Schizosaccharomyces pombe: one gene and its partner. The gene in region 1 interacts genetically with each later gene. Each region holds a gene or a part of one and is shown on either strand. Other genes may lie near its edges.

What was found.
Region 2: of hta2 (region 1) and mdb1, a mutation in one rescues a mutant of the other (synthetic rescue), as found in Schizosaccharomyces pombe (one study listed by BioGRID).

The regions. Positions count from the first base shown.
Region 1 is NC_003424.3:4,051,621-4,055,165, reverse strand, and holds hta2 (histone H2A beta), read left to right. Parts: upstream 1-1,847; 5' UTR 1,848-1,918; coding exon 1,919-2,314; 3' UTR 2,315-2,720; downstream 2,721-3,545. Other genes in the region: RNA-binding protein Rsd1, read left to right, coding at 1-84, 181-318, 366-539, 612-932, 982-1,056, 1,098-1,356; mce1 (citrate transporter), read right to left, coding at 3,163-3,545. UniProt on the Schizosaccharomyces pombe protein: Core component of nucleosome which plays a central role in DNA double strand break (DSB) repair. Nucleosomes wrap and compact DNA into chromatin, limiting DNA accessibility to the cellular machineries which require DNA as a template.
Region 2 is NC_003424.3:2,881,968-2,887,256, reverse strand, and holds mdb1 (BRCT domain protein Mdb1), read left to right. Parts: upstream 1-1,915; 5' UTR 1,916-2,036; coding exon 2,037-2,270; exon of another isoform or gene 2,271-2,324; coding exon 2,325-2,417; exon of another isoform or gene 2,418-2,473; coding exon 2,474-3,715; intron 3,716-3,767; coding exon 3,768-4,073; 3' UTR 4,074-4,464; downstream 4,465-5,289. Other genes in the region: iph1 (metallopeptidase), read right to left, coding at 1-218; SPOM_SPACUNK4.13C (NTPase Ylf2), read right to left, coding at 536-1,533, 1,625-1,665, 1,731-1,915. UniProt on the Schizosaccharomyces pombe protein: Involved in DNA damage response (DDR) mediated through its interaction with phosphorylated H2A proteins hta1 and hta2 which mark the discrete foci of DNA damage.

The DNA of each region.
Region 1 (3,545 bases):
GGAATTATATGATTTTTTCGAACAAGCTGGTCCTGTTCGCGATGCTCAAATTGTTCGAGACAAGATTAGCGGACGATCGAAAGGGTATGTCTTATAATTTTTTTTTTTTTTTTAAATAGATATTATTCTGTTTTTTTTTATTTTTCAAATTGGGTTCGTTTGCTAACGAATATAATATAGTGTTGCATATGTGGAGTTCTGTCACGAGGATTCTGTACAGGCGGCTATTGCGCTTTCTGGTAAGCGATTGTTGGGTCTTCCTGTCATTGTACAACTTACAGAGGCTGAAAAAAATAGAAAAGCTCGTGAAGCTGCTGAGTAAGTTTTTACTAAGCATCCATTATTTTTGTCTAACTTATTTGTAGATTGGCACGAGCCGCTAGCGCTGAAATTCCATTTCACAGATTGTGTGTCTCAAACATTCACTTCAACCTTACTGATGAAGATGTTAAGGCAATTTTCGAACCTTTTGGCGACATAGAATTTGTACACCTTCAGCGTGATGATCAAAACCGAAGCAAGGGTTTTGGTTATATACAGTATGTTTTCAAAAAATTAGATTGATATTTATATCTATTTAACTTCAACGACACTAACATTATATTTTTTAGATATCGAAATCCTATAAGTGCGAGAAATGCTTTGGAGAAAATGAATGGCTTTGATTTAGCCGGAAGAAATATGAGGGTTTGTTTGGGCAATGATAAATTTACTACAGAAACAACTAGTTCCATGCTGAAGCGCTTTGACGAAACGTTGGCTCGCCAAGAACGTAGTCAACCTTCTCAACGTAATGGCGGTTCATCAACCTACGAATCACAAGACTATCGAGAAGCAGCTCCTTTATCTCCTACTGAAGAAGAAAGCCGTCCCATTACAAGAGATGAGCTAATGAAAAAGTTAGCACGCTCTGAAGACATTTCAGACAACAGGTATGTCTTGTTTTAACTTGGATCCTTTTTGTCTTCTAACATAAAGCAGTAAACTGGTATCTGAACCAGAGCCTCCAATTCGTAGTAGATGTGCATTATTAGAAAACATGTTTAATCCTGCTGAGTACGTTTTTTTTATGATTCATAATTGACTAACCTTTAAAGGGAAACATCACCTAATTGGGTGCAAGAATTGGAGCAGGACGTCAAAGAAGAGTGTGATGAAAAGTACGGCAAAGTAGTTCACATTGCTGTTGTACCGAATGAATTGGGGCAGATATTTGTAAAATTTGAAAATGCCGATTTTGCTGAAAAGGCAATCACTGGACTCCATCAACGTTGGTTCGGAGGGCGTACAATAAAGGCATCCATTTTACCGGAAACGGATTACTACTTCAAATTCCCTAATGCCAAAACTGCTTAAACGTCGCTCTCTACTAAACTTTGCTCTGGAATTGATGTGTTTTACCTTTTCTCAGAAAGTTCTTTTAAAACAAAGCTTTTTGTACTTTTGCACGTCCTGTTATATTTAGTTTAAACTACGATGGTCGATATTTAGTAGCAGACTTTTCTTTTTCCGTAAAATTAAGAGTATACTTAGTTTAATAAAATCATAAATATGTACATATATTGATTGAATTTTAATTATGTCTAACTAAATACATTCGACGAATTTGCAGGATCATATATTATAAGGTAGTATACAATCGTTCTAATCATAGTTACTGTGTCTTTTATATATTCCCTAAATATACTTAACGAAATTCGTTGTGCGTTCCAAATGCTGAGTATAATATCACTGAAACGAGTCTGCTATCATTCAGTGATGAATGCCCATAAACATCCATCAAAACCCTAACCCTGTATATTGCTGTATATAAAAGAGCTTGTCGCTGCATCATCTTCTTCTTCTCTAAATATTGGGCAATTGAGCAATCCTGCATACATTATTCCAATTTAAAACTTAAGTAATTTCTTTATCAAGCATGTCTGGAGGTAAATCTGGTGGTAAGGCCGCAGTCGCCAAGTCTGCTCAATCTCGTTCCGCTAAGGCTGGTTTGGCCTTCCCTGTCGGTCGTGTTCATCGTTTGTTGCGTAAGGGTAATTATGCTCAACGTGTTGGTGCTGGTGCTCCCGTTTACTTGGCTGCCGTCTTGGAGTATTTAGCTGCCGAAATCCTCGAATTGGCCGGTAATGCTGCTCGTGATAACAAGAAGACTCGTATCATTCCCCGTCATCTTCAATTGGCTATTCGCAATGACGAAGAATTGAACAAACTACTTGGTCATGTTACTATTGCCCAGGGTGGTGTTGTACCTAATATCAACGCTCATCTCTTGCCCAAACAATCTGGTAAGGGCAAGCCTAGCCAAGAGCTTTAAACTCTTAAATGAATGATAAATTGTATATTAAGATTATTTGTCGTTTATACTTAACTATTATTATACCACACTAATTGCTTGAACTGTTGGTTTCGTGACTTAATTCGTTCACACCTTTTTTTACGCAATTTCTCTATCAGAAATTTAGTTTTATCATTATATCAGTGATACAGAAACAAGTGCATTATTCGGTTGAGAAACTTTTTCATATGACTCATAATTCTTACGTTTTTATTTGGTTACATACTCTGTTTCAAGCTTAGTTGTTTGTACAGTACATTATTCGAGTTTGAATGATTGTTAGGTTTCCTGATGGTTGATTGACGCTTTCTTTTCTCGTTTGATGAACTTTCCGTGTTTTCCTCTTCCCTTTATTATACATTTCCTTTTTCAGCTTCCTTTGTATAGGCATAATTTGTTTATTATAGGTTTATTTTAATGAAAGAACTATTGGTTCAATATTCGCTAAACTTTTTGAGGTGCTTGTAGCATGTAATTACACTGCGTATTGTCTAGGTGCCTAAACATCAACCCAGATATATGGATTTGAATGAGTTTGGTGATTTATTATTGGTATAATTTAATTATGGTAGTAGTAACAGGGGCATTTAGGAAGTTGCAATTCAAAACATGCAAAACATGAATACTTCCAAAGCACAAAACATTTCAAAACTCTAGGGGGTTATATTTTTAATAATCTAACTATCTATAAAGCACCAAAGAAAGAATAAAATAATAAAAAGAAGATAATGTGAAAAAAGAACAAAACCAGTGAAGTGATTGCTTTAATGAAGCAATAATTATATATAACCAAGGATAAATCCATATTCCACTGCTTACGAGGATATTTAAAAAGGCTTGAGAATTTCCATAACTTTTTCGTAAACAGTGAATACAATACCACCACTGAGAATCAAACGAGCCAAACGGGGAGTAGCACCAGACCAGAAACGCAACAGACCATCTTGAGTTAAAATCTTATAAGCGCAATGAATACTGTTTTTGTATTCCTTACTAGCACTCAAAGATTGCATACGACTCTTGACAGTATCGATGGGTTGCGTACAATAAACGGTAATAATACCAGCTACAGAACCGACTAAGAAAGTGGTAACGGTACTCAACTTCTCATCTGGTGGTAATCTGCTTTGAAGGGATTGCTTGATACTATTATAGGCAGTAAAACGTACACCAGAATTAGCAGCTTGACGAGCGACAGTTGCAGCGAGAC
Region 2 (5,289 bases), 1.2 Mb from region 1:
AGATGCTCACAAAAGTGCGCCAATCCTAACAACTCTCGTGGATTGCTTTGACTGCCGATGTGAACGTCAATAGCTGCACTTGCATTATCTGTTTCCGGATCTCTCACTAGCAAAACCTCGAGGTCGTTTTCCAACTTAATAAGACGATACTCTCTATCATCCAAATTTGGAACAACTTGTCCATTAACTATCACTTCAACTTGCGGTTTCCCATCCATTTTTTATTTATGAAAGGAAAAGATAAAACAACCCAGAATTCTGACTACTGCTATTACACCCAAAAAAAGGGTAATATGTAAGAAATATGGCAATAGGTTGAATTATGTGTTTACATACACACAGTACGTAGGCATTACTGTTTAGAGGCCAATTTAACAAAATACACCGATGCACTAAATAATTTAATGTAATTAAAGCTATCCTACAAGTATAAAGTTTTGTAAACAAATAACTAATAAACACTTGAAAAGAAACATTATGAAAACGGTATTAATGAAATCTTACTATAATTAATTTAATTTAATTTAGATTATCACTAACGAGCAATTTTCCAGAAAATAATATCCCCGGGTTCGACAGTATAATCTTTCCCTTTCGTTTTGCACTTTCCTACGCTTTTACAAGCATCTACTGATTTGTACTTTTCGAAATCAGAAAACTTTATAACTTCTCCTGCAACGAACTTCTTCTTGAAATCTGAATGTATTATACCGGCCGCGTCAGGCGCCTTAGAGCCGTCGGCAATAGTCCAAGCTTGAACGATTTTTTCACTAGCTGTGAAATAATGTATCAAATTAAGTGCAGAATATCCCGCACAAATAATTTCTGATAATTGAGAATTTTTGCCCAAACTAGCGCATTCCTGCGCCGCCTCTTCAGGCGTAAGCATGAATAGCTGTTCTTCAAACAGAACTGAGAGAGGTATCACTTGATCACCAAAACTATTTTTCTCAACCCATTCTTTGATTCCTTTTAATGCTTCTTGTTCATCGGAAAGATAATCGTCTTGATCCATATTTACCAGATACACCACCGGTTTGGCAGTGAGTAAGTTTAAAGAATTTAAAATGGGAATCTGCTCGTCATTCCATTCAGCTTTAGATATTTGACGGCCTTTTCCTAATACTACTTCTAATGCTCTTCGTGCCGTATCAAGAGCTTTTGCACATGTTTTGGGCGAGCGGCCCTCCTTTTTTAAATATGATTCTAAAAACTCTGCGTCTTTTAACAATAGCTCTTCCTGTATTATTTGTAGATCTCTTACTGGATCAACTGACTTTTCAACATGAGGAACTTGAGCCTCTGGAAATGCACGTACCAATTGAAACAAAGCATCGACGGATCTAATGTTTGAAAGAAACGCATTTCCAAGACCTTCTCCCTTGCTTGAATTCCTTGTCAACCCTGCAGTATCATAAATAGTTAATTGCGCTGGGATACGCGTTTTAGGCTGATAAATTTCACAAAGCAATTCATACTGTGAATCAAGTACAGGGGCTTTTGCATGAACGGGATCGATTGTAGCGAAAGGGTCTTATAAATTTGTTTTGTTAGACAACAGAAATACAAAATATTATATCACTTATAATCAAAACTAATACTTGACTAAAATATGACAACGTACAGTTAGCAGGATTTCCCAGGTTTGTCTTTGTAAGAATTTGACTATATTTATTGTTAATACCGATCAATGAAGCAAATTTATCAGTTAAACCCTTGAACAAACGTACAATAAGGTGGATTTCCCAATGTTGGGCATTCCTACAATGCCAATTTTCAAATGATTTCCAGGTCGTCCCAATCGTTGCCGAACAATAGAAATATCCTTTTGTTTTGAATAGTATCTCCTAGTACAATTTACAGAAGGTAGACACTTTTGCGTTGACAACACTATCCTTGTAACTATACCACGCATTTCTTAACCATTCGATGAATTAATCACAGAGTTGTTGCTAAGCTTTTTCACGCAGTAACCAAAACATTAATTGTTAATTCCTCCTTGAAATTTTTATACGATCAATAGCAGGATTTGTAAAATGGAGATACAGTTTGGAAATCAGAGGTGTAGGATGGTAAATTCTGGGGGTTTTCTAGCTACTGATGGTTCCCATCTGAAGGAAATGGAAACAGATGATGTTCTTGTTGAATTCTTAAATATAGAACATCAACTTTTTATTCGAAATATTCGAGCTATAGTTAAAATAGCCGATACAACGGTGCTTCCATCTGCTAGCGACAAAAAGCTTCTTTATTATGTTTTTGACGAAACGGTATTATCTTTTTTCTATTGATTAATTGAGTAAGCTAATTATATACTTTTTTAGAGAGTAAGAATCAACGATACTCCTGTAATTTTTTCAAAATTAGAGGAGGATAATGCAAACGTGAATGAAGGATCCAAAATGGGAGTTATGACTGTATGTGCATTCCCTCATTATACTATTGTCAAAAAGACACTAACCTATTTTCCAAGGTCCCTAATACCCCGCAGAAGCCAAATTTGCAGCAACAAAAATTTGAAGCGATCAATGCGAATGAAGATCAAATTGATTATTCAAGTAACTTGGAACAAAATTACAATTCTTTAATTAGGCAAGGATCTGACCAGGTCATTCCCCTTTCGCGATTCGCTTCAGAAAAAAGTGCTTTAGAATTGGAAAAGGAACTCTTTTCTGAGAGAATTCCAGAATCGCAATCTGCCGCTGAGCCTGTTCTTAAAGTTGAAAACTCTGAGAATGATTTGGACGAAAAATTGGTATTGGACGGTCAACATGTGGAAGGCGACCATAGTTCTGACACTGAAGAGGAGGTTGTTTCTGAAGATCAAAAACAGTTGAATAAGACCGACGATGAGTCAACATTTATTGAATCACACCAAATTTATATACAAGGAGAAACAAAATCTCCTTCTTCTGTCTCGCAATCATTGAGTGGAGACCCATCCTTGAAGCCAGCAGAGGTATTTGATAGAAAGCAAAGTGCTGAAATAAACTCACCAATTGAGAAGGATGTGAATCCACAGCAAAACATATCGGACAGCTCTATAAAGAACAATAGCATTCACAGTGATGAAGTAAATCCAGAGGTTAGGCCAGATTTAACCCCCTCCAACGAAAATGAAGAAAGTAAAAGAAGTGCGCCGGAAATCGCTCTCAAAGAGAAGGAATCCACATCCCAGGATGAAAGTAACAGAGAAGCAGAAGAGGCACCAATTTCCACTAATTATTCTTTCCCCTCATCATCTTTAGAGGATCAACCTGACAAGAATGTGCAGTCCTCGGCAGTTGAAAATAAAAACAAGCACACAAATCTGGTAACGTCGAGTTTCAACCTAACTAAACCGATGAAAAGTTTTATAAGGAGAAATGGTCTAAGGGTGCAAGAAAGTGTCACAGACGAAACCGACTTTGTCATCCTTGGTTCACCTCCACTTCGGAGGACACATAAGTTTTTACTGGCGACTTCTCTAGGTATACCACTTGTCTCTTCTCAATACTTGACAGACTGTATAAAATCAGGTAAAGTTTTAGATTTTCGTAGCTACAAATATAAAGACGAGGAAGCAGAAGCCAAGTGGGGATTTCGTTTGGACGATATCCACAGAAGAACGTGTTTCAATGGGAAAAGACTATACATTACAAAGGCAATTCGAGATTCGATGGTAGGGGATTCTATACACGGACTTTACTCAATTTTGGAAACATCTGGAGCTGAGGTAAGTGAAAGATGGAGAATATCTAGTTATGATAGGCTAATGATTTAAATAGATTGTTGGTGATATTAAAAGGGCTCAAGAGAAGGACACAATTATACTTGCTCAACCTGACAACGATCAAGAAGGACGGAATATGAGTGCTACTGGTTTAAATGTGTACAAGATTGAACTAGTAGCTTTATCCATCTTGCGTGATCGAATTGATTTTGATGAATTTTTGATTGACTATGATGCTGACAGTCCCACCAAAGTAATTGGAAAAAGAAATGTCTCAAAGGCATCCCGAACCGGGCAAGGAAGAAAACGATCCTCTCGTTCATCTTGGAACAAACCAAGTGCAAAGGAGCAAAGAACATAAAATTAAAGGTAAAGAGGACATCGTTTACTTTGTCTATTATTTATTTATAGAAGTATATTTGCAAACATATATTCTTGAGTTTCTTCTATGAAGGAGGACCATTAGAAATTATACAAAAATAGAATTTTAATAATGATATTAAATAAACGAGCGTATTTAAGGGCGAAGGATAAAAAACCTACACGGTTATTTAATGAAATATGCGATCTGTTAGTTGATTGTTAAAATCTTGAACCAATAAATTCAAGATACTCAACATAAATGAATCGATTTCAATACGCTTTTTTTTCTATTTTCCAGATAATGTATGAAAAAAAATAGTTTGACCAATTCCCGAAATTTATAATTATTACATCTCAATTAAAAAAACAAATAAAGAAATAAATAAAATGATATGAAATGAAGTACAAAAGGTTAATAAAAATAAATAACAAATTTCTACACGATTAAAAGATATAAAAGGTAAAAATCTTTATGAGTAGAAAAACGCATATACTTATTTGCGGTTTTAAGAGGAAGTAAAAGGAGGTAATTCCGAAACATAAAAATAAAGGGGCCTCATTATAGTGCTTCTTTTTAGTCTTGCAATTTTATTTTATTTTTTGAAAAGGTTTAGTTGTTTGTTTATTGACTACAAAACACAGCAAATCCACTCGTCATATCAGATCAAGCATACCGCATATCTAACAAATGATTCTGCAATGCATTGCACTTCACTGTATAAAATTTATTCATAAAATGCGCAATATGTATATCAGGCACTTATAGGTTTACCCAAATATGCTGTTAAATGGAATACACAGTTTTTTGCGCCATCTTACCATTTATAAAGCGTGAATTTAGAGACCCGCACATGCTTCCGCACACGGCCAAATGAGCGCTAAACCTCGGACGAGAAAGTGACCTGTGTGCTGTTTCTATTTATCGCATCGCTACGATGACATCATAGTGTGGTGAAAGCACCAGCTGTTATAAGCAGACCAACGAACCAACTCACTGTTCAACAATATTAATCAAGTTCTATTTCTTATACAAGCAATTTGGAAAATAAATCAAGTGTTAAATACATTCTTTGCTTGAGTGTATTTTATATTTTTTAGTGTTCTGTCCTTGCAATCGAAAAAAGCGCATTGACAGGTTTCGAAGCGAACAAGGAAATATCGGTTTTACTCTTGAAACAGAAATTTAACTGTATGTGAAAATTTTTTTTGGAGTT